Linked DNA regions of Saccharomyces cerevisiae S288C. The main gene of each other region encodes a partner of the protein of the gene in region 2 in a complex. Each region holds a gene or a part of one and is shown on either strand. Other genes may lie near its edges. A codon is read from its position in the direction of its gene.

Region 1 (4,001 bases), on a different chromosome or scaffold from region 2:
AGGAGTGGTCGTACTGTTGGTCCACCTCACTAACGCAATCATTTTCGCTGTGGCTAGTATATTTGTTCGAAACTTCCTTTGAAGGGCCTAGTAGATCTTGATTCTTTGTCACCTCAACATTGATTTTTTTTTGTTTCTTTGTAGTTATTAAATGATTTGAGAAATATTTTAGGGCATTCATTCAATTAATGAAACAATGTCCAGAAATTAACAACAATAAAGAAAAGTGAGAATAGGATGCAAAATAGGTTCTATATATCCCGAGTATTTACCAGGGAGAAGAATTCGAGATAATACCCTGTCCTTACGTAGAAGAATCAATTGTTTTCAAGAGTTTTTCTTCTAAAAAAGTGTCTGGACCTTTTTTTTCTCATGCGATTTTATTACCCTTGTTTTTCAATTGAAAACCCGGAACGATTTAACGAGATCAAGAACTGTTGAACAAAATGGCTTTTTCATTTGGCATTCCATCATAGACTCTAATGGAGAAGAAAAATAGTAATTTTTTCTGGTGCTGCTGCTCCTTCTTGCATCTTCGGAAACAGAATTTACGTATCTAAACACTACTTTAATTATACAGTTCCTTCATATAATACCAATTTTTTTAAGGTTTTGCTGGATGATTAGATCGGTGACTGCACTCAATACGAACTTCATAGTTTGGGTATCGGTAGCGCAGGTTCGTTTCACGTAGATTGGTTTGTTTGTCTTATTCAAGCTCAAAAATATCTTCTCAAAATATTTTAGACCCGCTTCTGCATCGCCGACACGTCCCTGGTAATCAGGAAAGTACTTTCTTATGGGCATGCTTTTTACCTTTTCCTCGAACAAATCAATTTTATTTAAAAACAAAATAAACGGTGTATCTTTGAACCACTTAGAGTTCAATAACGTGTCAAATAGCATTATTGATTCATGCATTCTGTTCACTCTTTCATCCTCAAACAACATCTGGTCGTATTCACTCATTGCTAAAACAAATAAAACTGCTGTAATTCCTTCGAAACAATGAATCCACTTCTTACGTTCAGAACGCTGCCCACCAGCGTCGAGAACCTTGAATTTGGACGAGCCGATGTTAAATTCGGTTTCTGTAATGCCTGTAGTCTTTATACGGCCCTTCAAAATGTCTTCATCCGTACAGACATAATTCGGACTAGCAAATTTCTCAATGTTATCAAAGTAGTATGCAGCTGAGCCCTCCAATTGAAACTCATTAGAACGTGCAAAACACTGCTTTATACCTTTGTCGTTATTCCAAAGTTGCTTTATTGCCTTAGCAATGTCTTCGTGAATAAGATTTCGTCTATTTTGTCCTTGAATTTCCCTTGATGTTTTTCTAACAAACATCTGGTCATCGCCTTCTTGGTTCAAGTCCTTGCAAATATCCTGTAGGTTAATTCTACTACTGTTGTTTCTATCAGCATCCTCATTTTGCGTCACCGTTTCAGCATCTCTGTCAGTGTCACTTTTGACATTAGAAATATTTCCGTCTTCATCGAAAGCAGCTTTTGCTCGTCCGGTACTCTGAACACGCCTCCTAGTTTCATACCTTTCTGAGTACTTCAGTACATAATCATTTAGAAAATCAGAACCACCGGCAACACTGGCGTTGATATAATCTAAAGCTTTAGCCTTTAGCAGTATTCTCTTGCATGCAAACAAATCTTTATTGTTGATCGGATCATCACAGTCAAGTTGAATACCTAGTTTTCTGGCCTGAATAATCAAAATTTTCATTGATTGTATGGCATCTGCCCATATCACTTGAGCATACTGTAACCTTTCTTGATGGGAGAAACCGCCTTGATGTAATAATTTTAATTGTTTTAAAACCGTTGATTTACCTGACTCACCGGCACCTAATAGTAACAGTTTTATTTCATTCTTGTCACGTTGTTTCTCCAGCTGCAACGATTGCTCGATGACATCATTGGCTCTTTTGTTCTGTAGAAAAGGATCACTTTCGTCTCCTATTGTTTGCGTACTCACTGTACACCCCATTATTTCCTACCTTAATATATCAATTTATACACCTCTGGATTATTGATGTGATGCTAAAATACCAATTTACAGTATGAATAGCTTCTACTCAGTTTGGTCTTAGAAATGGTCAAAAATGTTAGAAACGGAGTGACAAGAAAAAATGAATAACAGATCAAAAGATTACGAATAATATAAAACGTAAAGAAATTGGTGGAATTCTACTATCCTCTTCATTTTAGACTATTTTTTAATATTTCCCTTTAAGGAAAACAATATGTAACAAAAAAATTTCTGCTCTCCATTTAATTGCATTTCTACAAGGAAGAATACGCAGAAGGACGCGCAGAGCCCTAAATTGATGTGCTTTTTAACATGCTGAGCCGAGTGCGTTTCGGTGAAATAACACGAAGATGCGTTTCAAATTGAAACTAGTCAGTGTTATCTGCATGAAAAGGGAATATCGTTATGCATTCAGTTTTCCAATAGAGACATTTTTTTTTTTTTAGATTCGGCTTGCTTTATCCACCTATGATCTTGTTTTCAAACAACATGTGCCATGTAAGATAAAAAGGTAAAGATGAAGTACAGAAAAGAGTATAATGTTACTTGTATATACAGGATATGAATCAATAATACTAATTATAACGTTGAGTCGAGTAAAACAGCTTATGGATTTCTTTTCTTATTTTCGTCTTATCATTACTGCTTTAATGCACATTTCTAAAACTTACCGGCTGCGTTAAATGATTGGCCCATTTTCTGCATGTTTTCACCGACTTGAACATTGGTCTCAAAATATTTGGCCACACATCTGTCTAGGCACGAAGATTCATTCTTATTCAGCTCACCCTCGGAATAAGAAGTATTGATACATTTTTTATAACAGTTATTAACCAATTTATTGAACATGTCTGTGACCAAATCTAGTTCAGCTTCCGCAGCTTGAATCTTTTGTTGAGATGATAATTGAGGCTGACCACCACCGAAACCTAAGAAAGACATGTTTTTCTAAGTATGATAGTTCCTTCTTTTGCTTGTTTATCTGTTAAAAGACATGAGAGGGGAACGAGGAGAGTAATAGTTCTTTAGAGAGCTTGCTCTTGTACGTTCACTGCCAGCTCTCTCGCTGAAAAAATTAAAGAAAAAAAATGTCCGATAGCTTCAGAGGGTGATCATCAGCTACGAATTGGGAAATCAATGCAAAAAATGCTTCCAATCGGATTTGAACCGATGATCTCCACATTACTAGTGTGGCGCCTTACCAACTTGGCCATAGAAGCTCTAATAGTGATAGGACCCAGATTATATTTAGTGACTTGTTGATAAATGTTTTAAAATATTACCTTCGTGTCGTTATCGTTACTGAGGAAAGATTTGCAAAAAATAATTACATACTTGGGCTCTTCTGAACGAACAAGTTAACCAAAAAGGTGTATATTACTTCCTCTTGTTTTGTTTCCGGGCTAATGCTTACCTTTCCTTTGTTTCCAATGTTCTTCTTTAACACCAAAACATACTATTTGAGAAATGGGTGAATGTTGAGATAATTGTTGGGATTCCATTTTTGATAAAGGCTATAATATTAGGTATACAGAATATACTAGAAGTTCTCCTCGAGGATATAGGAATCCTCAAAATGGAATCTATATTTCTATTTACTAATATCACGATTATTCCTCATTCCGTTTTATATGTTTCATTATCCTATTACATTATCAATCCTTGCACTTCAGCTTCCTCTAACATCGATGACAGCTTCTCATAACTTATGTCATCATCTTAACACCGTATATGATAATATATTGATAATATAACTATTAGTTGATAGACGATAGTGGATTTTTATTCCAACACTATTTGAGGTTTGGCAACTGTTGAAATTATTGTTAGGACATTGTTAAAAAAGGTTCTTTTATTAGGTCTACAAAAACAAAAAAAGTTTTTTCACGAGGACAGCGTGAATCACAAAGGTGAGGTCAATAGTTTTACATAATAATAAATAACGTTTTTTTTTT
Region 2 (3,796 bases):
AAAGTTAAATGTGCAGAAGAAGAGTCCACTTTATTCAAAATAGTTCTAATTTCAATCATTTGTTTGGTTAAGTTTAACATTTCGTCTTGCGTTGTATCTACAGAATCGTTTTCATCATCCTCGTCATCATCATCTTCGTCGTCATCATCTTTAGGATCTCCTTGCCTCTTACTTTCGTCATCGTCGAGTGATGTAGCGGCTATTAGAGTAGCAGTTGGCACCGTTCCATCGTTTCCATGACCACCGTCTTGTGACTTATCACCGGAAAACATTTTATTAAACTTTTCCTTCATCGATTCACCTAAATCCTTGATTCGATCTAGTTTGTCCTTAGTAAAAGAGCTAGCTTCTTCCATCTTATAAGCTATATAACTCCCTGCAGCAGCCATCCCGCCACCCACATATATGGGTAACCTAATAATTTTAGATATAATTTTAGGAAAATGTGATATCGATCTCCTGGTGATAACAAAACTCAAAGCATTGGCATGTGCTGATCTGTGAACATTGCTCATGCGGCTGTGTAAGTGCACCAACGGACTTTTGATGTAAGGAGAGCTATATAGTATCGCCGGATGCGTAGCAAGCTGTCTTCTCAGAATTAAAAGCCGTACTGGGCTCGCATTCATCCTTACTAATGTGTTATAGTTCGCCACTCTTGGGATGGCCCTTAATGAAGTAGAATTACTCATGCTTTCAGAGTATTATGGTGAATATGCGAGGCTATATTATAAGTACGAAAAGAATGGAAAAGCCTAAGAATAAAATGATATCTGTACTACCCAAAAAGAGGCTTTTTCGTGTTCTCCCGTTAACTGGTGTGAACCTTCCTAGCTGATTATGTCTTGCCTTTCAATAGAACGCTACTATTTTGTTTTTAACGGTACAAGGAAATATTAACAACTTGCATATTGATCATCGAATACGAAGCGCTGAATGAGGGTTAATTTCATAGTAAATCTTTCATGGACAGAAATATTTGAAATATATTTCCTCAAAGAGTACACTAGATCCATTCATATTTTAGGCTTCCTATGGAAACCGTTTTTTCAAGGATAAACCCCGCCATATGTTCTTTGCGAAGTCTTTTGCAGTTAAAACTAATTACAACTCTGTTATTTACTGACACCTGCGTTAAAATTTTATCACAATATGTCATCCGCTGAGAGAGATGTACTATTTATAATTACTTAAGAGCGACTACTTCATTTACCATTAGCGAGCAGAAGAACAGCTTACTTGTCGATGTTCTTCTCTGGCTAAATGAAATGTCAATTATTGAGATTGAGATGGGTATGTATGATCGGATTTTGATATCAGCCGATGAGACGAAGATTCAATAGCTTCAACCGTCCCTGCGGGGGGTACTTACCTTTTGTAACCAGTACCCTGTGCAAATTCTCGGCGTGTACTACCTCTTTTGGGACCACAACCCTTTGTACGCACTTTCGTCAGATGCAAATTTTTACACGCGTTGAAAAATGTTTCAGGAAGAGATACTGCGTAAAAAAAAGACACATGTGTTACGCAGGAAAAAGTTTGTGAGGCTTTTTGCCTTAACAGATTGACTTGTAGCCCTGTTAGGTTTACCCAACAGTTGTTTTTCTGTGTGTCGAAAATTTTTTCAGATTGTTTTCAACTGACACTTGCCTGTTTCATATTAGTTGTAACTTAAACTTTCAAACATAAAACTTTTTTGGAAGTCCATCCTTCACATGACTTGAATCCCTTCAATATCGAAACAGTATCCTCAAAATCTCTTATCACTTTTCTAATTGTTTTCTTCCCCTTTTTGTAGTAACTCGCTGTAAAGCACATTTTATTCATAATCTCCTTTGTGCCAGAACTCAAGGTCAATAGGCCAGAATTATTGGAAGGAAAGAGGGAAGAAAATACGATATTGCTAGTTCATTAAGTCAAGGAAGAAAATACTCAAAAAACTGTACAGCTCAATCAGGTACACATTACGATGGCAGCACATCAGATGGACTCGATAACGTATTCTAATAATGTCACCCAACAGTATATACAACCACAAAGTCTACAGGATATCTCTGCAGTGGAGGATGAAATTCAAAATAAAATAGAGGCCGCCAGACAAGAGAGTAAACAGCTTCATGCTCAAATAAATAAAGCAAAACACAAGATACAAGATGCAAGCTTATTCCAGATGGCCAACAAAGTTACTTCGTTGACCAAAAATAAGATCAACTTAAAGCCAAATATCGTGTTGAAAGGCCATAATAATAAAATCTCAGATTTTCGGTGGAGTCGAGATTCAAAACGTATTTTGAGTGCAAGTCAAGATGGCTTTATGCTTATATGGGACAGTGCTTCAGGTTTAAAACAGAACGCTATTCCATTAGATTCTCAATGGGTTCTTTCCTGCGCTATTTCGCCATCGAGTACTTTGGTAGCAAGCGCAGGATTAAACAATAACTGTACCATTTATAGAGTTTCGAAAGAAAACAGAGTAGCGCAAAACGTTGCGTCAATTTTCAAAGGACATACTTGCTATATTTCTGACATTGAATTTACAGATAACGCACATATATTGACAGCAAGTGGGGATATGACATGTGCCTTGTGGGATATACCGAAAGCAAAGAGGGTGAGAGAATATTCTGACCATTTAGGTGATGTTTTGGCATTAGCTATTCCTGAAGAGCCAAACTCAGAAAATTCTTCGAACACATTCGCTAGCTGTGGATCAGACGGGTATACTTACATATGGGATAGCAGATCTCCGTCCGCTGTACAAAGCTTTTACGTTAACGATAGTGATATTAATGCACTTCGTTTTTTCAAAGACGGGATGTCGATTGTTGCAGGAAGTGACAATGGTGCGATAAATATGTATGATTTAAGGTCGGACTGTTCTATTGCTACTTTTTCTCTTTTTCGAGGTTATGAAGAACGTACCCCTACCCCTACTTATATGGCAGCTAACATGGAGTACAATACCGCGCAATCGCCACAAACTTTAAAATCAACAAGCTCAAGCTATCTAGACAACCAAGGCGTTGTTTCTTTAGATTTTAGTGCATCTGGAAGATTGATGTACTCATGCTATACAGACATTGGTTGTGTTGTGTGGGATGTATTAAAAGGAGAGATTGTTGGAAAATTAGAAGGTCATGGTGGCAGAGTCACTGGTGTGCGCTCGAGTCCAGATGGGTTAGCTGTATGTACAGGTTCATGGGACTCAACCATGAAAATATGGTCTCCAGGTTATCAATAGCTTCGAATTGGAAATACTGTGAGCAGTAATTATCAATGGATGCTATTATATAAATATACATACCTACACCCATCCCATATTTACATAGAATAACAACAGTAACATTAGTTCTGTGGAAGCGCAAAAACGTCCTTTAATAAAGTAAGTCAAAACATTCAACAATGAAAATTCAAAGCATTGTCATTTGCTTCCTTTTTCTCTTTGGATAAACGAAACAAAAACGAACAAAAGTGTCATGCACTCAAAAATTCTTTTCAATCGTTTTGGAAACAGTATTATTCACTGACTTATTTGACCAACTTGCTAGAATCATCTATGTTTTCAGGCATTGTTTAATTTCATGATGGCTGTCCCTACTTTAGCTTGTTATGAGCCTTCACTGGCTCGTCCTTATGTATTGCGTCTGACCCAAAATTTGTCCTTTCTTGTTTAGTGGAATTTTTGTTCGGTAATTTCAAAAATGCCTGAATTTTCATTAACAAATCATCTGGTAGTTGTGTTATAAACATAAAAAACTGCTCCCTTCTGGGATGATTTTCAATTGCTCTCTGTACT

Evidence for each region. The genes of interacting proteins can lie anywhere in the genome.
Region 1: the proteins of STE4 (region 2) and GPA1 are in contact, whole or in part, in a cryo-EM structure (PDB 7AD3), measured with the Saccharomyces cerevisiae proteins. Residues at the interface, in NP_014855.3 of Saccharomyces cerevisiae: Asn85 (codon at 2,222), Gly90 (codon at 2,237), His91 (codon at 2,240), Asn92 (codon at 2,243), Lys94 (codon at 2,249), Ser104 (codon at 2,279), Gln112 (codon at 2,303), Asp113 (codon at 2,306), Phe115 (codon at 2,312), Leu117 (codon at 2,318), Ala122 (codon at 2,333), Ser123 (codon at 2,336), Leu125 (codon at 2,342), Lys126 (codon at 2,345), Gln127 (codon at 2,348), Asn128 (codon at 2,351), Ala129 (codon at 2,354), Gln135 (codon at 2,372), Trp136 (codon at 2,375), Leu138 (codon at 2,381), Leu154 (codon at 2,429), Asn155 (codon at 2,432), Asn156 (codon at 2,435), Arg168 (codon at 2,471), Cys182 (codon at 2,513), Tyr183 (codon at 2,516), Asp224 (codon at 2,639), Leu226 (codon at 2,645), Ser248 (codon at 2,711), Asp272 (codon at 2,783); in NP_011868.1 of Saccharomyces cerevisiae: Thr7 (codon at 1,986), Gln8 (codon at 1,983), Thr9 (codon at 1,980), Ile10 (codon at 1,977), Asn20 (codon at 1,947), Lys21 (codon at 1,944), Ala23 (codon at 1,938), Asn24 (codon at 1,935), Ile27 (codon at 1,926), Glu28 (codon at 1,923), Ser30 (codon at 1,917), Leu31 (codon at 1,914), Gln32 (codon at 1,911), Glu34 (codon at 1,905), Lys35 (codon at 1,902), Asp38 (codon at 1,893), Lys43 (codon at 1,878), Thr301 (codon at 1,104), Gly302 (codon at 1,101), Ile303 (codon at 1,098), Glu305 (codon at 1,092), Leu318 (codon at 1,053), Arg324 (codon at 1,035), Ser325 (codon at 1,032), Glu326 (codon at 1,029), Lys329 (codon at 1,020), Trp330 (codon at 1,017), His332 (codon at 1,011), Cys333 (codon at 1,008), Phe334 (codon at 1,005).

What each region holds. Positions count from the first base shown.
Region 1 is NC_001140.6:112,914-116,914, forward strand, and holds GPA1 (guanine nucleotide-binding protein subunit alpha), read right to left. Parts: upstream 2,005-4,001; coding exon 586-2,004; downstream 1-585. Other genes in the region: Nem1-Spo7 phosphatase catalytic subunit NEM1, read right to left, coding at 1-181; protein transporter TIM10, read right to left, coding at 2,707-2,988. UniProt on the Saccharomyces cerevisiae protein: Alpha subunit of the heterotrimeric guanine nucleotide-binding protein (G protein) that mediates mating pheromone signal transduction.
Region 2 is NC_001147.6:740,941-744,736, forward strand, and holds STE4 (G protein subunit beta), read left to right. Parts: upstream 1-1,969; coding exon 1,970-3,241; downstream 3,242-3,796. Other genes in the region: dynamin-related GTPase MGM1, read right to left, coding at 1-629; SAS5 (Sas5p), read right to left, coding at 3,595-3,796. UniProt on the Saccharomyces cerevisiae protein: Implicated in the a- and alpha-factor response pathway. The beta and gamma chains of the putative yeast mating response pathway G protein play a positive role in initiation of the mating response.